Linked DNA regions of Sus scrofa. The protein of the gene in region 2 interacts with the protein of the main gene of each other region in a pairwise test. Links are inferred from orthologs where the notes say so. Each region holds a gene or a part of one and is shown on either strand. Other genes may lie near its edges. The genes, in order: ERH, FAM208B and NEK6.

The links.
Region 1: the proteins of FAM208B (region 2) and ERH interact in binary tests that used the Homo sapiens proteins (3 or more experiments, as listed by UniProt). The two-hybrid records come from large-scale screens. The link is inferred for Sus scrofa from reciprocal best matches to the Homo sapiens genes TASOR2 and ERH.
Region 3: the proteins of FAM208B (region 2) and NEK6 interact in binary tests that used the Homo sapiens proteins (3 or more experiments, as listed by UniProt). The link is inferred for Sus scrofa from reciprocal best matches to the Homo sapiens genes TASOR2 and NEK6.

Annotation. Positions count from the first base shown.
Region 1 is NC_010449.5:93,081,046-93,085,381, reverse strand, and holds the start of ERH (enhancer of rudimentary homolog), read left to right. Parts: upstream 1-1,431; 5' UTR 1,432-1,499; coding exon 1,500-1,502; intron 1,503-3,636; coding exon 3,637-3,724; intron 3,725-4,336. Other genes in the region: SLC39A9 (zinc transporter ZIP9), read right to left, coding at 244-339. UniProt on the Homo sapiens protein: May have a role in the cell cycle.
Region 2 is NC_010452.4:65,199,727-65,202,568, forward strand, and holds part of FAM208B (protein FAM208B), read right to left. Parts: intron 2,323-2,842; coding exon 2,217-2,322; intron 1-2,216.
Region 3 is NC_010443.5:265,077,253-265,081,340, reverse strand, and holds the start of NEK6 (serine/threonine-protein kinase Nek6), read right to left. Parts: upstream 2,935-4,088; 5' UTR 2,770-2,934; intron 1-2,769. UniProt on the Homo sapiens protein: Protein kinase which plays an important role in mitotic cell cycle progression. Required for chromosome segregation at metaphase-anaphase transition, robust mitotic spindle formation and cytokinesis.

The DNA.
Region 1 (4,336 bases), on a different chromosome or scaffold from region 2:
CTCAAATTTTTGTATTCAATTTCAGGGCGTTCAGAGTATTCCAGGATCTTCAGTGGATCCACCCACCTCTGGTTAAAGAACACTAGTGCTGAATGTGAGGTTGTTATTAAATATCACGCATCTTTGGAGAGATATATAAAACCTTCAGCTCTAATATCAACAGGGGAAGCAGCTTCCCTTTACAACTATGACTACTTCCTAGCAGCCATGCTGACAGCTGACAGAAAATTGAGAATTTCTTACCTCTGAGAAATTAACAGCCAAAGGAATGATTCCAGCCACGTAACATCCCACCAACATAGCCAGAGACAGCAGACTAATAGAGATGAAATCATCCATTCTGCCCTCCTTTATTCACTCACCACCACCAGAGTACAAATTTTCGGTGGTCTCAAAGGGTACTTAGGTTCTTAAACGCGTGTGGTTGTTTCAGCAGAACAAGTAGACTTCCCAGTTCTTTTGTCCTCCCCACCAGCAGATATGTTCACGAGGCACTGTTCTCTTGAAGGTACCTGGAAACACTCCCTTTTTGTTGATACTAGCACCAGAGAGAACTTTGAGCAATCTTAGGTCGCAGCCCCTAAGTTTTCAGATATCAGTCACTGGATTCTCGTGGGTTAACAGATGAGAAAAGTCCAGGGGGAAAATATGCGAATGAGCGAGTTATTCAATCATTGTTATAAGGGTAGCATAACAGGCCTACTTCCTCCACAACGTTCCGGGCGGCAGCAACAAAAGGAAAAATCCAAGCGAAGATGTTTGTTCTCCGGGCGCCCCTATCTCCCTGGAGCAGCCCCGCCGGTGATTCCTCCAGGTCTGGGACCAGCCCACCAATCCCAGCAAACTCCTCTCCGAGTCTAGGATGAGGAAAGGAGTCCTGCAGGTCTCTAACGATTGGTCGTAGGGGCTCAGCAGGGAAGCTGATACAAAGCTGTCTCTGCCCTATACCCAGTGCTACCCATGTTACTCCACTCTGCTGGGCCTTGACCCGGAGCCACCAGTACTACAGCTGCCATGGCCGCCAAGTGGCATCTCTTCTTTACATCCACTTCCGGATTGCCTTACTGCCCCCTCCTTTAGAAGGGTACTTCCGGGTTGCAACCGACCTATGCCCCGGGATTCTTATATTGCCGCCATTTTTGAGTAGGGCCATTGAAAAAATGACTTGTGTAACTGTTTAAACCGATGATCACTGTAGCCTCATGTCTTACAGCGAAAGCGAGGAAGACAGATTCTTGGAAAGAAATATGATTTTTTTTAAGTTCCGATACATTCTCTCTATGTCTCGTCGCCCTTATTCAAAATGGCTGAAACAGAGTCAACATCTGCTCTAGCTGCCGGAAATAAAGGAGCCTCTATGGTTCAAAAGGTTCTTTCGCGGTGCCCTTCTGACGACTTCCGGCGGCTCCTCTCGCGGGGATTGGCTGTTGGCGGCGTTGCGGCTAAGCTCGTGTGCTGCAGCAGTGTCGGCAGCGGCTGCAGGAAAAGGGATCGGCGCGATGGTGAGAAAGGCCTAAGCGGCTCCCCGAGCCCCCAACCTCTGGGGCGACCCCTGCTCGTACATCTTCTCCCAACGCGGTCTAGCGCGCGCATGCTATTGCTCGGCTCTCCAGCCTGTAGATCGATCCTTCCCCTTCCCGCCGCGGAAACGCTGGGCCTGGCACTAGGCCGCTGAGCCCCGGTCCGCCCTGCGGTTGCGCGCCAGCCTGATGGCTCCGGCAAGGCGTGCGGTGCGGAGGATGCGCTTTCTCCCTATTGCTGCTTGGTAGAACCCGGCGTTGGGATGCTGACCTGTCTCTGCAAACGCTCTATCTTACTGTAGGAACAATGGGCGAGAGATGTCTGACAATCCTGTCTCTCCCCAAGCTTACAGCACCCAAAGTGTGGGCCAGGAGGAATCGTCTTTGCAGCGTGCTCAGCTATTCCCTTTGTTTTCTGTGCTCTGCCTTTTTGAAAATACGTGCAACCTTTTCTCTTTTCTGAGATGTACATGCTTGGTTTTGTGCTTCCCTTAGCCTTCAATCCTCTTTTTATCCTTATTTATATTCTTTGGGGCTGGAAGTTGAAAAGATAGGTTGAGCTGAGGGTCCAGGTTGCTTAGAACCTGGGTCGGTAGTGTAGTGGATGGGGGCGGGGGGTGTTGTTTGGTCGGTTTTGTTTTTTTGGGGTTTTCTTTTGCTTATGTGTGTGTGTTTTGTAATTCACAAAAAGGAAATGCTCTCAGGGATTCTGAAGAATCATGATTACTTCCATACTTTAGTTTTCGTTTTCAGTTTGCCACAGTTATTAACAGATTATGCATCTGTTATTAACAAGGAACTTTTTCATGTACTTCTCTGAATGGAGATACTTCAGTGTTTGACCCAACATAGTCTCCCAAGGAGGACTAGGAATTAGAAGACTGGGTTTTCAATTCTTGGTTTATTATAAATAATAATGTGACCTTGGGTATGTCATTTCATCTCAGTGAGTTTCCTTCCTTTTATGTCACTGTTTGGTCAGTTGTGTTAAAATACTTAGATTAAATCTGAGAAAAAGACAGCAGTTAGTAACAACCCATTCGCATTGAGCAGATATCTATGATTAGTTCTTTAATTCCGAGTAGAATTAAAAACTGGAGTTTGTATTTAAAGTCAACAGTTACTGGTTCAGAAGTCTTAAATTTTGTTGCCCTTACTGAACAACTTTAGTTTCTTTTTCTTCTCTCTGCCCCCATCTTTTTTCTTTTTTGATAGTTTGGGCGAAGCAATTAGTATCCATGAGGACTCAGGTTTGATCCCTGGCCTCGCTCAGTGGGTTAAGGATCCCGTATTGCTGTGAGCTGTGGTGTAGGTCACAGATGTGGCTCAGATCCTGAGTTGCTGTGGCTGCGGCGTAGGCCAGCAGCTACAGCTCTGATTTGAAGCCTAGCCTGGGAACTTCCATGTGCTGCACTTGCAGTCCTAAACAGACTAAATAAATAAATAAATAAATAAAGATAAAAGTACATCAACCCTCACCCCTTAAGGTGAGTCATCTCCAAGATGAATAATTTAATGGATTTTCTAAGGTGATGTTATATTAATTTTTATTTATTTATTTGTTTTAATTTTCCTTTTTAGAGCCATACCTGCAGCATATTCAAGTTCTTAGGCCTAGGGGTCGAATTGGAGCTACAACTGCCGGCCACAGCATTCAGGATCCAAGCCTGTCTGTGACCTACACCACAGCTCACGATGCAGGATCCTTAACCCACTGAGCAAGGCCAGGGATCTAACCACAACCTCATGCTTCCTAATTGGATTTGTTTCTGCTGCACCACGACAAGGAGTTTTTATTAGGGACTTAATACAGCTAGAGATAGAAAGAGACCAGTGGAGATAGAAAACCTAAGTAAGTTTTCAATCCAGCTGGGAAGAAAGATGCAAAAGAAAAAAAATAAACAGTACAAGGTAGCTAATGCTGAATACTTACAGACAGTAAGTGTAATAACAGTTTGAGAAAACAACCATTAAGAGTAAGAGACCTTGCAGAGGAGTTGTGAATCCAGCTTAATAACCAATGATCATTTGTGTCATGTTGCAGATTTTATCTCATACTAAGAATTTCTCAAGTATAAGTTAGAAACTTACATTAAAATCACTTTTCCCCCTGCAGTCTCACACCATTTTGCTGGTACAGCCTACCAAGAGGCCAGAAGGCAGAACTTATGCTGACTATGAATCTGTAAATGAATGCATGGAAGGTGAGTCTCATTTAGGACCTAGGTTTGTTTTTTCCTCCAGATTTCTTGAGGTGTTAATTCGAGCAGGGAAAGTAGATATTTAGGACCATGTTTGTTGAATACTTGAAATATTAATTATGCATGCTGTCTTATCAAGCTCTTGTATATAATGAATGTCTTTCCCAAGCCTCTGATTGTTCTGTAAAATTCTGTTATGTATTGTTATTTTGTTGTATTATGGAAGTATTTTACAGCTATCACTTATATATTCTGGATAAACTAAGCACTATAAAGTTGTTAAGGCAGGCAGGAGTGCCTACAGAACCAAATCTGCTTATAAGCAAATAAACATAGTTAAAAGCTGATTACAGTCCATAAGAATGTTGTTAGGAAATAATTAGCTCAGTGAATAAAGGCAAGTAGAACCTAATCAGTATAATTTATTGTGTATTTGATAAGATGGCACCACCCTGAAGGGAAGTATTAGCCTTCAATAAACTTTTCAGATGAGATCACATAAATTGGATCATCACAAATTGGATTAATCCTTACATTTATTTATTTATTTATTTATTTATTTATTAAATGGGAGTTGAGGAGGAGATGGATGATGTTCAGACAAAAAAGATGTTT
Region 2 (2,842 bases):
TCTTCATCCAACTCCTTCCCCCCTCTGTTCTCCTGACACACCTGGCTCCCCAGGCATCGCTGTCAGGGTCCCCCCAAACAGCCCCCGTGTCCTCCCGCCTCTTGCAGACGCAGGTGTTTAAAACGTGGGGGCCTCGTTCCACCAGGAGGGACACGCGGGTGGCCTGGTGGGCCTCCGCTGATCCCCGAGGCCCTCTGCCTGCATCCCTCAGACCTGCAGCGGTTGCTCCCAAAGCACTCAGGTCCCTCCAAACCTAATTCTCTCCAGTCAGCGGGTCGCCAACTTCACCAACATCAGGCAACAGCTGGAATTTCCTTAATTTTTCTCACTTAATTTTTTTTGGTCTTTTTGCCATTTCTTGGGCCACTCCCGCAGCATAGGGAGGTTCCCAGGCCAGGGGTCGAATCGGAGCTGTAGCTGCCAGCCTCCGCCAGAGCCACAGCAACGCGGGCTCCGAGCCGCGTCTGCCACCTACACCACAGCTCACGGCAACGCCAGATCCTTCACCCACTGAGCGGGGCCAGGGATTGAACCCACAACCTCCTGGTTCCTAGTCGGATTCGTTAGCTACTGCGCCACGACAGGAACGCCTCACTTCACTTTAAATCGTGTTTCTACCTTCTGTGCTTCTGGAGGAAACGGGTCCATCTCTCCAGCCCCCTCCCTCGCTCGCACACGGTCCTGCTCGCTCGCGGGGAGGCCCCCGGCCACCTGCTCCCGCAGCTCTAATGACGACCTGTCAAGGAACCTGCTTGCAGGCTTCATCCTCAGCAGGTGTAAACTTCCATCACTGACACCACACTGTACCTGGTTGTGTTCTGTTTTTGTCTTTTTGCTTTTTCGGGCTGCACTCACGGCTTGTGGAGGTTCCCAGGCGAGGGGTCAAAATGGAGCGGCAGCTGCCGGCCTACACCACAGCCACAGCAATGCCAGATCCGAGCCGCATCTGTGACCCACACCCCAGCTCACGGCAGCGCCGGATCCTTCACCCGCTGAGAGGGGCCAGGGATCGAACCTCATGGATCCTAGTGGGTTTGTTACAGCTGAGCCAGAAGAACGCCCTGCCCTGTACCTGGTTTTAAGGTGCCCACTCTGACGCCCACCCGTCCAGCGCCCCAGCCCTCTCCCCTCGCCCTGGTCTCCGCGGTAGGAGCCTCGCTGTCTCCCGCCCCCCCTGCCACCTTCCCTCTCGCAGCTCCCACCGTCAGAGCCCAGCTCTCCACAGGCCCAGGCCTGGCTTCCAGGGGGCGGCGGCGCCGTGGGGGAAGCAGAAGGAACGTGTCAGCCAGAGACGAAGCCTCCCGACCTGCCGGTCAGGGGTCAGCTCTGCCGGCCTCTCTGCCTCCATCCCATGGCGTTAAAGTGGGTCTGTGTCTTCCTCCCCCGCGGGGACTTGCAACAGTCACGTGACAGACGCCTGTCACGTCGACGGAGCCCCTGGATGCCAGACTCTTTCTTACAAGCTGCAGGCACGTCCCTGACACCCAAGGGCCACCCACGGGCCCCGGATCTCTTCTTTTAAGGAGACGGGCCTGAGATAAAATGAAGGCTACAGCCTGGTCTCAACCTGCCTGTCCTTGTAAGTGTGGCAACGTAAGAGATCAAGAAACATGTCCAGGAGTTCCCGTCGTGGCGCAGTGGTTAACGAATCCGACTAGGAACCATGAGGTTGCGGTTCCGTCCCTGCCCTTGCTCAGTGGGTTAAGGATCCGGCGTTGCCGTGAGCTGTGGTGTAGGTTGCAGACGCGGCTCGGAACCCGCGTTGCTGTGGCTCTGGCGTAAGCCGGTGGCTACAGCTCCGATTAGACCCCTAGCCTGGGAACCTCCATATGCCGCGGGAGCGGCCCAAGAAATAGCAAAAAGACAAAAATAAATAAATAAATAAACATTAAAAAAAAGAAGAAAAAGAAACATGTCCAGAAGCAGCCCGCAGTTCAGTCTGCTCACTGCAGGGAGCAGAGCCTGAGCCCAACCACGGGGACCCCGCCGGGGGCCGTGTCGGGAGGCTCTGCGCTGCTGTCTAGGGAGGGCTCCTGCCTCGGCAGCAACACGGCCCTTCCCTCAGCCCTTCCCTCGCCGAGAGCCCCGCTGGCCAAACACTCCGAGGAGCAGCCACGGGCCCAGGCGCCGCCTTCGGCGACCCGCCGGCCCAGAGCGTGTCCGGGGGACCGGGGCTGGCCACCCACCCCCGGCCTCACCTTCCCCAAAGTGCTCACCTCACATCTTCTTTTAGCTTTTTAATCTCCCGGTAGTGAAGCAGCCACTTCCACCTGCCGCTGGCATTCAGTTTCTCGAGGATTCTGACAATCTCCTTCAGCTGAACTACAGAAGAGAGGAAGTTTGACGAGAGAAGATCTATGTTAGAATTTGCGGCTTGTCTGGTCAAAGCTCAGTGAGGACGCCTTGTGTTTGCAGCAACACCAGGTTCTTAACCCACTGAGCGAGGCCAGGGATGGAACCCGCATCCTCGCGGACACCGTGCCAGGTTCTTAACCCCATGATACGGACACGACCGTCGGGGCGACGGCAACAGAAATGGAGGAACGAGGGCCGATTCCAAACAGACATGGAGTGGACGTGATTGGGCGAAGGAGGAAACTGCTCATCTCACAACCGCCCGTGTGCCCGCACAGGAGCTCAGCCACAGTGCTGAGAGGTTTGGTGGCGAAGGGCCTGGGTTCAAACAAGAGGTGAGGGGCGCACCCCGGGACGGAGAGCCGCCGAACTAGCGACAGTGCTGAGCACGGCACGGGGCAGCCGTCAAGGCTGCAAGAGCGGTGGCTGGTGCTGTTCGGATGAAGTATCTGGGCCCCTGGAAGGAGAACCTGCTGCGACCAGAGAG
Region 3 (4,088 bases), on a different chromosome or scaffold from region 2:
AGAAAAGAAAAGAAAAGAAAAAAAGTGAAGAACCTCAACTCTGCAATCAGAGATGTGAGTTTTGATGGTGATTTGGCCATCAGCCAGTGTGGGACCCCGCCCAAGTTACTGTAAGCTTCATCTTCTTCTCTGTAAGATCAGGATAACAATCCTGGACCTTCGCAGGGTGCCAGACACCTGGGACACAGCCACGGTGGCTTTCCCGGTGCAGTGGGAAGACTATAGGCTCTGCTCAGTCAAGCCTGGGTTCAAATCCAAGGTCAAGTAACGGCCTATCAGCACATGATCTTCAGCATTTTATTCAATCTCTGTACCCTGGTTCCGTCCTCTGTAAAATAGGCATCATGATCGCTCCCATCTCTTGGTGTCGGTGAGTGGAGTGAATGAAACAGGCACTTAAAGCTTTTGGGGGTGTGCCTGGCACATGTTATACCCTCAGACAGTGGTGGCCGTGAACCATCAGTTGATAAAATTATGGACATCGTCTCATCTCTGGGCCTCAGTTTTCTCATCTGTGAAATGGAGATAATAACATCCGCCTCACAGTGAAAATTAAATGAGTGTGCTATGTTAAAACACTCGGAGGTGGGTCCGTGCACCTTCAGAAGGCAAATCCTGGTGCAAGGAAAAGGGGCTAGGTGTGAAGTCAGGCAGGTGACAGGGCTCCGCCTCCACTTCCTCAGCGGTCCCAGGACACGGTTCGCCTGCTCTGAGCCCTAATTTCCTTGTGCATATAAAACCAAAAGCCAGTCTCGACAGCCTGACTTCTGGGAACAGCGTGGCGCCCAGGACAGTGCCCGGCCCCAGTGGGGACTTCATAAATGTGACTTCCCTTCCCCGCTCCCTGGCTCCTTCCTCGCTTGAAGCCTCCAGAAGTGCCATCTGGCAAAGCCAGGAGCTCATTCGCTCGAAACCTGCGTGGCCCTATCCCCAGACCAACCTGAGCTGCTGCTTCAGTCTGAGACTTTATTTGGTGGCAGCAGAAACTACTTTTTAGTCATTTCCGAAGCAGACGGGACGGCAGAGGCTGACAAACCACAGGGACCATTTTAAATCCTGGGCCTTTCTTCTGGGAAGTTAGGCAAGAACCTTCCCAAATGTTTGCCCGTGGGGCTCTCTGCCAGGGAGTGACTCATTCATGGCTCCCCGCAGGCATATTTTATTTGGGGGTGGGGGATTGAGGGAGGAGGGCCTGGCCTTGCTGGGGGAAGGGAGGCAGCATTTCCAGCACACCCAGAGGTGGGTTTGGGGTTTTTTTTCCTTTCATTTTTTTTTAGGACCCCAAAGAAAAAGAACATGGGGCTTTTTTGTTTCCTTCCAGCTTTTGTTTGCGAAACGAAGACATCCAAAGTTCACTCCGTAAACTGCAGGGCGTTGGGAACAGGCGCTTCCAGCCGGCTCTGCATCCCTTTCAATGAAATTCTTCTTCCATTAACGCCACGGTTTTTAAATGTGCCTCCAAGGTTCGCCTGCGCACACACTGAGCTCCTAAGACGACATGTTCCCCTCAGAAAGGCAGGTTGAATTTTGACAATCCAGAGGAACTAGGGCGCTCCAGAGTTTCTAAAGTTTGCCTTAAAGCAATTAAGACTTTCGACTGCAGAGATTTCCAACATTTATAAAGCACACACACCAAAAAAAAACCTGTCAGTCAAAACTGCAAGGACAGACCCTGGAAAACAGTGTCCCAAGCCTGCTGTGATCAATTTACTGTCTTGGGGGCTCATACTTGGTGCTCAGGCTTGATACAAAGAATCAGATGAGTATCTATCTACTCTGCAAGGCAGGCAGAGAGAGACCCCTAGATAATACAGCCAAGTGTCTCTGGGCCCCTGGTCTCCCCAGGGTCAGCCACACCCCAGGCCTGGGGAAAGGGTTAAAATTCACCAGGGCCAGAAAGGGGCAAGAACAAAGCCAGGAGACCCAGAAGAGTATTTAGGAAAATGAATCCAAGTCCTCCAGGGCCAAGCTAAGCAGCTCCACCAGGCCCACCACAGCCCCACGGAGGGGCCTGCCAGTGGCCCTACCCAGGCCCCGCTGGGCTCTGCAATGTGACCTCTGGCCTCTCCTTCACCAAACAAGGCCCAGCACCCACTGGGTGCTCAGGCCGGGCCTGCTTCTCCACCAGCTCATCACACAGTAAGCCTGGGGGGCGCAAAGGGGACCCTCAGCCCCCAGAGTAAACATACTTGAACACTCCTGTACACAAAGTACACGCTCACAGCCACATGTGCACACTTTTGTCCTCATGGGCTCCTAAGTCCGCACACAAATCACTTGTGGGCACTCACTCGTGTGTGTGCGCACACATAGCCCCAGAACCCACACGTTCTCCGTCACAAAAATGAGATCCCACAAGAAGCATTTGGCACATAGTAAACACTCAATAAATGGACAAATGGCAGCCATGCCCACTCGCCCCGCACTCATTCACACCAAACCCCACGATCACAACGCTCCCATGTGCACACGCACCAACTCGGCCACAGGCACGCGCACACTCCTGCGAACACACCCGGAGGGACAGATGGACACGCCGCCCACGCACGCTCCGACGCACGGCCCGGGACACACTCAAGGCTCACGCGCGCCCCGACCTCCCGCGTGCACACCCGCCAGCTCTCCCCCGCGGAGCCTCGGGCGCGCGCGCGGGCGCGCGCACCCCCCTGCTCGGCCCGGGTGTGGGTGACTGCCCCGCCGCCCGGCCCCCGCCCCTTTCCCGGCCCGCGCCGGTCCGATCCGGCCGGGCCCCGGCCCCAGGTCACTCACCGGCTCGCAGGCGGGCTCGGCTGCGGGCTGAAGGACCCGCGCACGGACCGGCGGGCGGCCGGCAGGAGCAGTGGGTCCCACACGAGTTGGCGGCGCCGCGGCCGCACGCTGGTCCGCTGGGTTCCGCCGCCGCCTGCGCGGGCCCGCGTGCGCGCTCCCGCCCTCCCCGCCGCGGGGCCGCGCCGCCCCCTGCGCTCGTGCGCGCTGCCGCCACGCAGGCTCGGGGGGCGACGGGGCGGCGCCCTCTCCACGCGCGGATCTCCCACTCTCCCAAGCCCGCTTAGCTGAGGACCCCCTCCCCATTTTCAAGCTGGGGAAACTGAGGCCCAGACTCACCCAGCGAGTCAGGCCTAACATGTCTCCTTCTCAAGCTCTAGACATTTAGGATTAGCGTCTGCAGCCAGTCAACCCCCCTGGACCCCTGCCACGCCTCTTTGGGTACCCTTCCCCCGACATTGCTCCCACCATAGCCCTGGTCATGTGGATCTCGGCTCATCAACAAGCACTTATTTTGCGCCTGCTGAATGAGCCGCTGAAATAAGCTCCAAGGGTATCTCGATGTGTGAAGGTGCTGGTCCCTGCTCTCAGGGGCCAACGTCTCTTGTCTGGAGCTCCCCAATTCCTGTGAACCCCAAGACCGGTAAGTGTCAGTGTGCAGACGTTTCTGGAAGAAGATTCTACTGAGGAATGCTTATCACCCCCTCTAAGGAGACAGAGTCCACATGGGGGCCCAAAGGCAGCAGCTCAGTTCCCTGCTTCACTTCCTAGAAGGGCCCCCACCCCCCAAAAAAGGGGACCCTCCTGGCTCAGACAGTTATTGCATCCACACTTGCTGATGCTTCTCCTCACGTGCAAAACTGTGCTGTGTCCCCAAGGAGGGCAGGAACCAGAGACTGACGCTGACTGCCTGCCAGCTGCCCAGCTTGGTCAGGGCACGGTCCTGGGCACAGGGGGATGCCCACTGGGCCTTGTTTGCCCAGTGAGTGACCATGTTTCAAGTGGCTGTGATCTATGACAATAACGACACCAACTGAACACCCACTGTGTGCCAGACTCATGGCTGCACACTCTGCCTGGCTGGTGCCATTCGGTCCCACAGCCATTCTATGAAGAAGGCTTTAAGCTGCTTTTGAGCCCATTTTGCAGATGGGGTAAACGAGGCCTAGAAACGATGCTTAGAAAAGCAAAGTCTCTTGCCCAAAGGCACCCAGCTGGTAAGTGGTCGAGCTAGCAGTTGGACCACAGATTGTCTGATTCCAGTGTCTATGTCCCTAATCTAGATGGTGAACAGATCAGCTCTGTGCTGCTGATATAAGGAG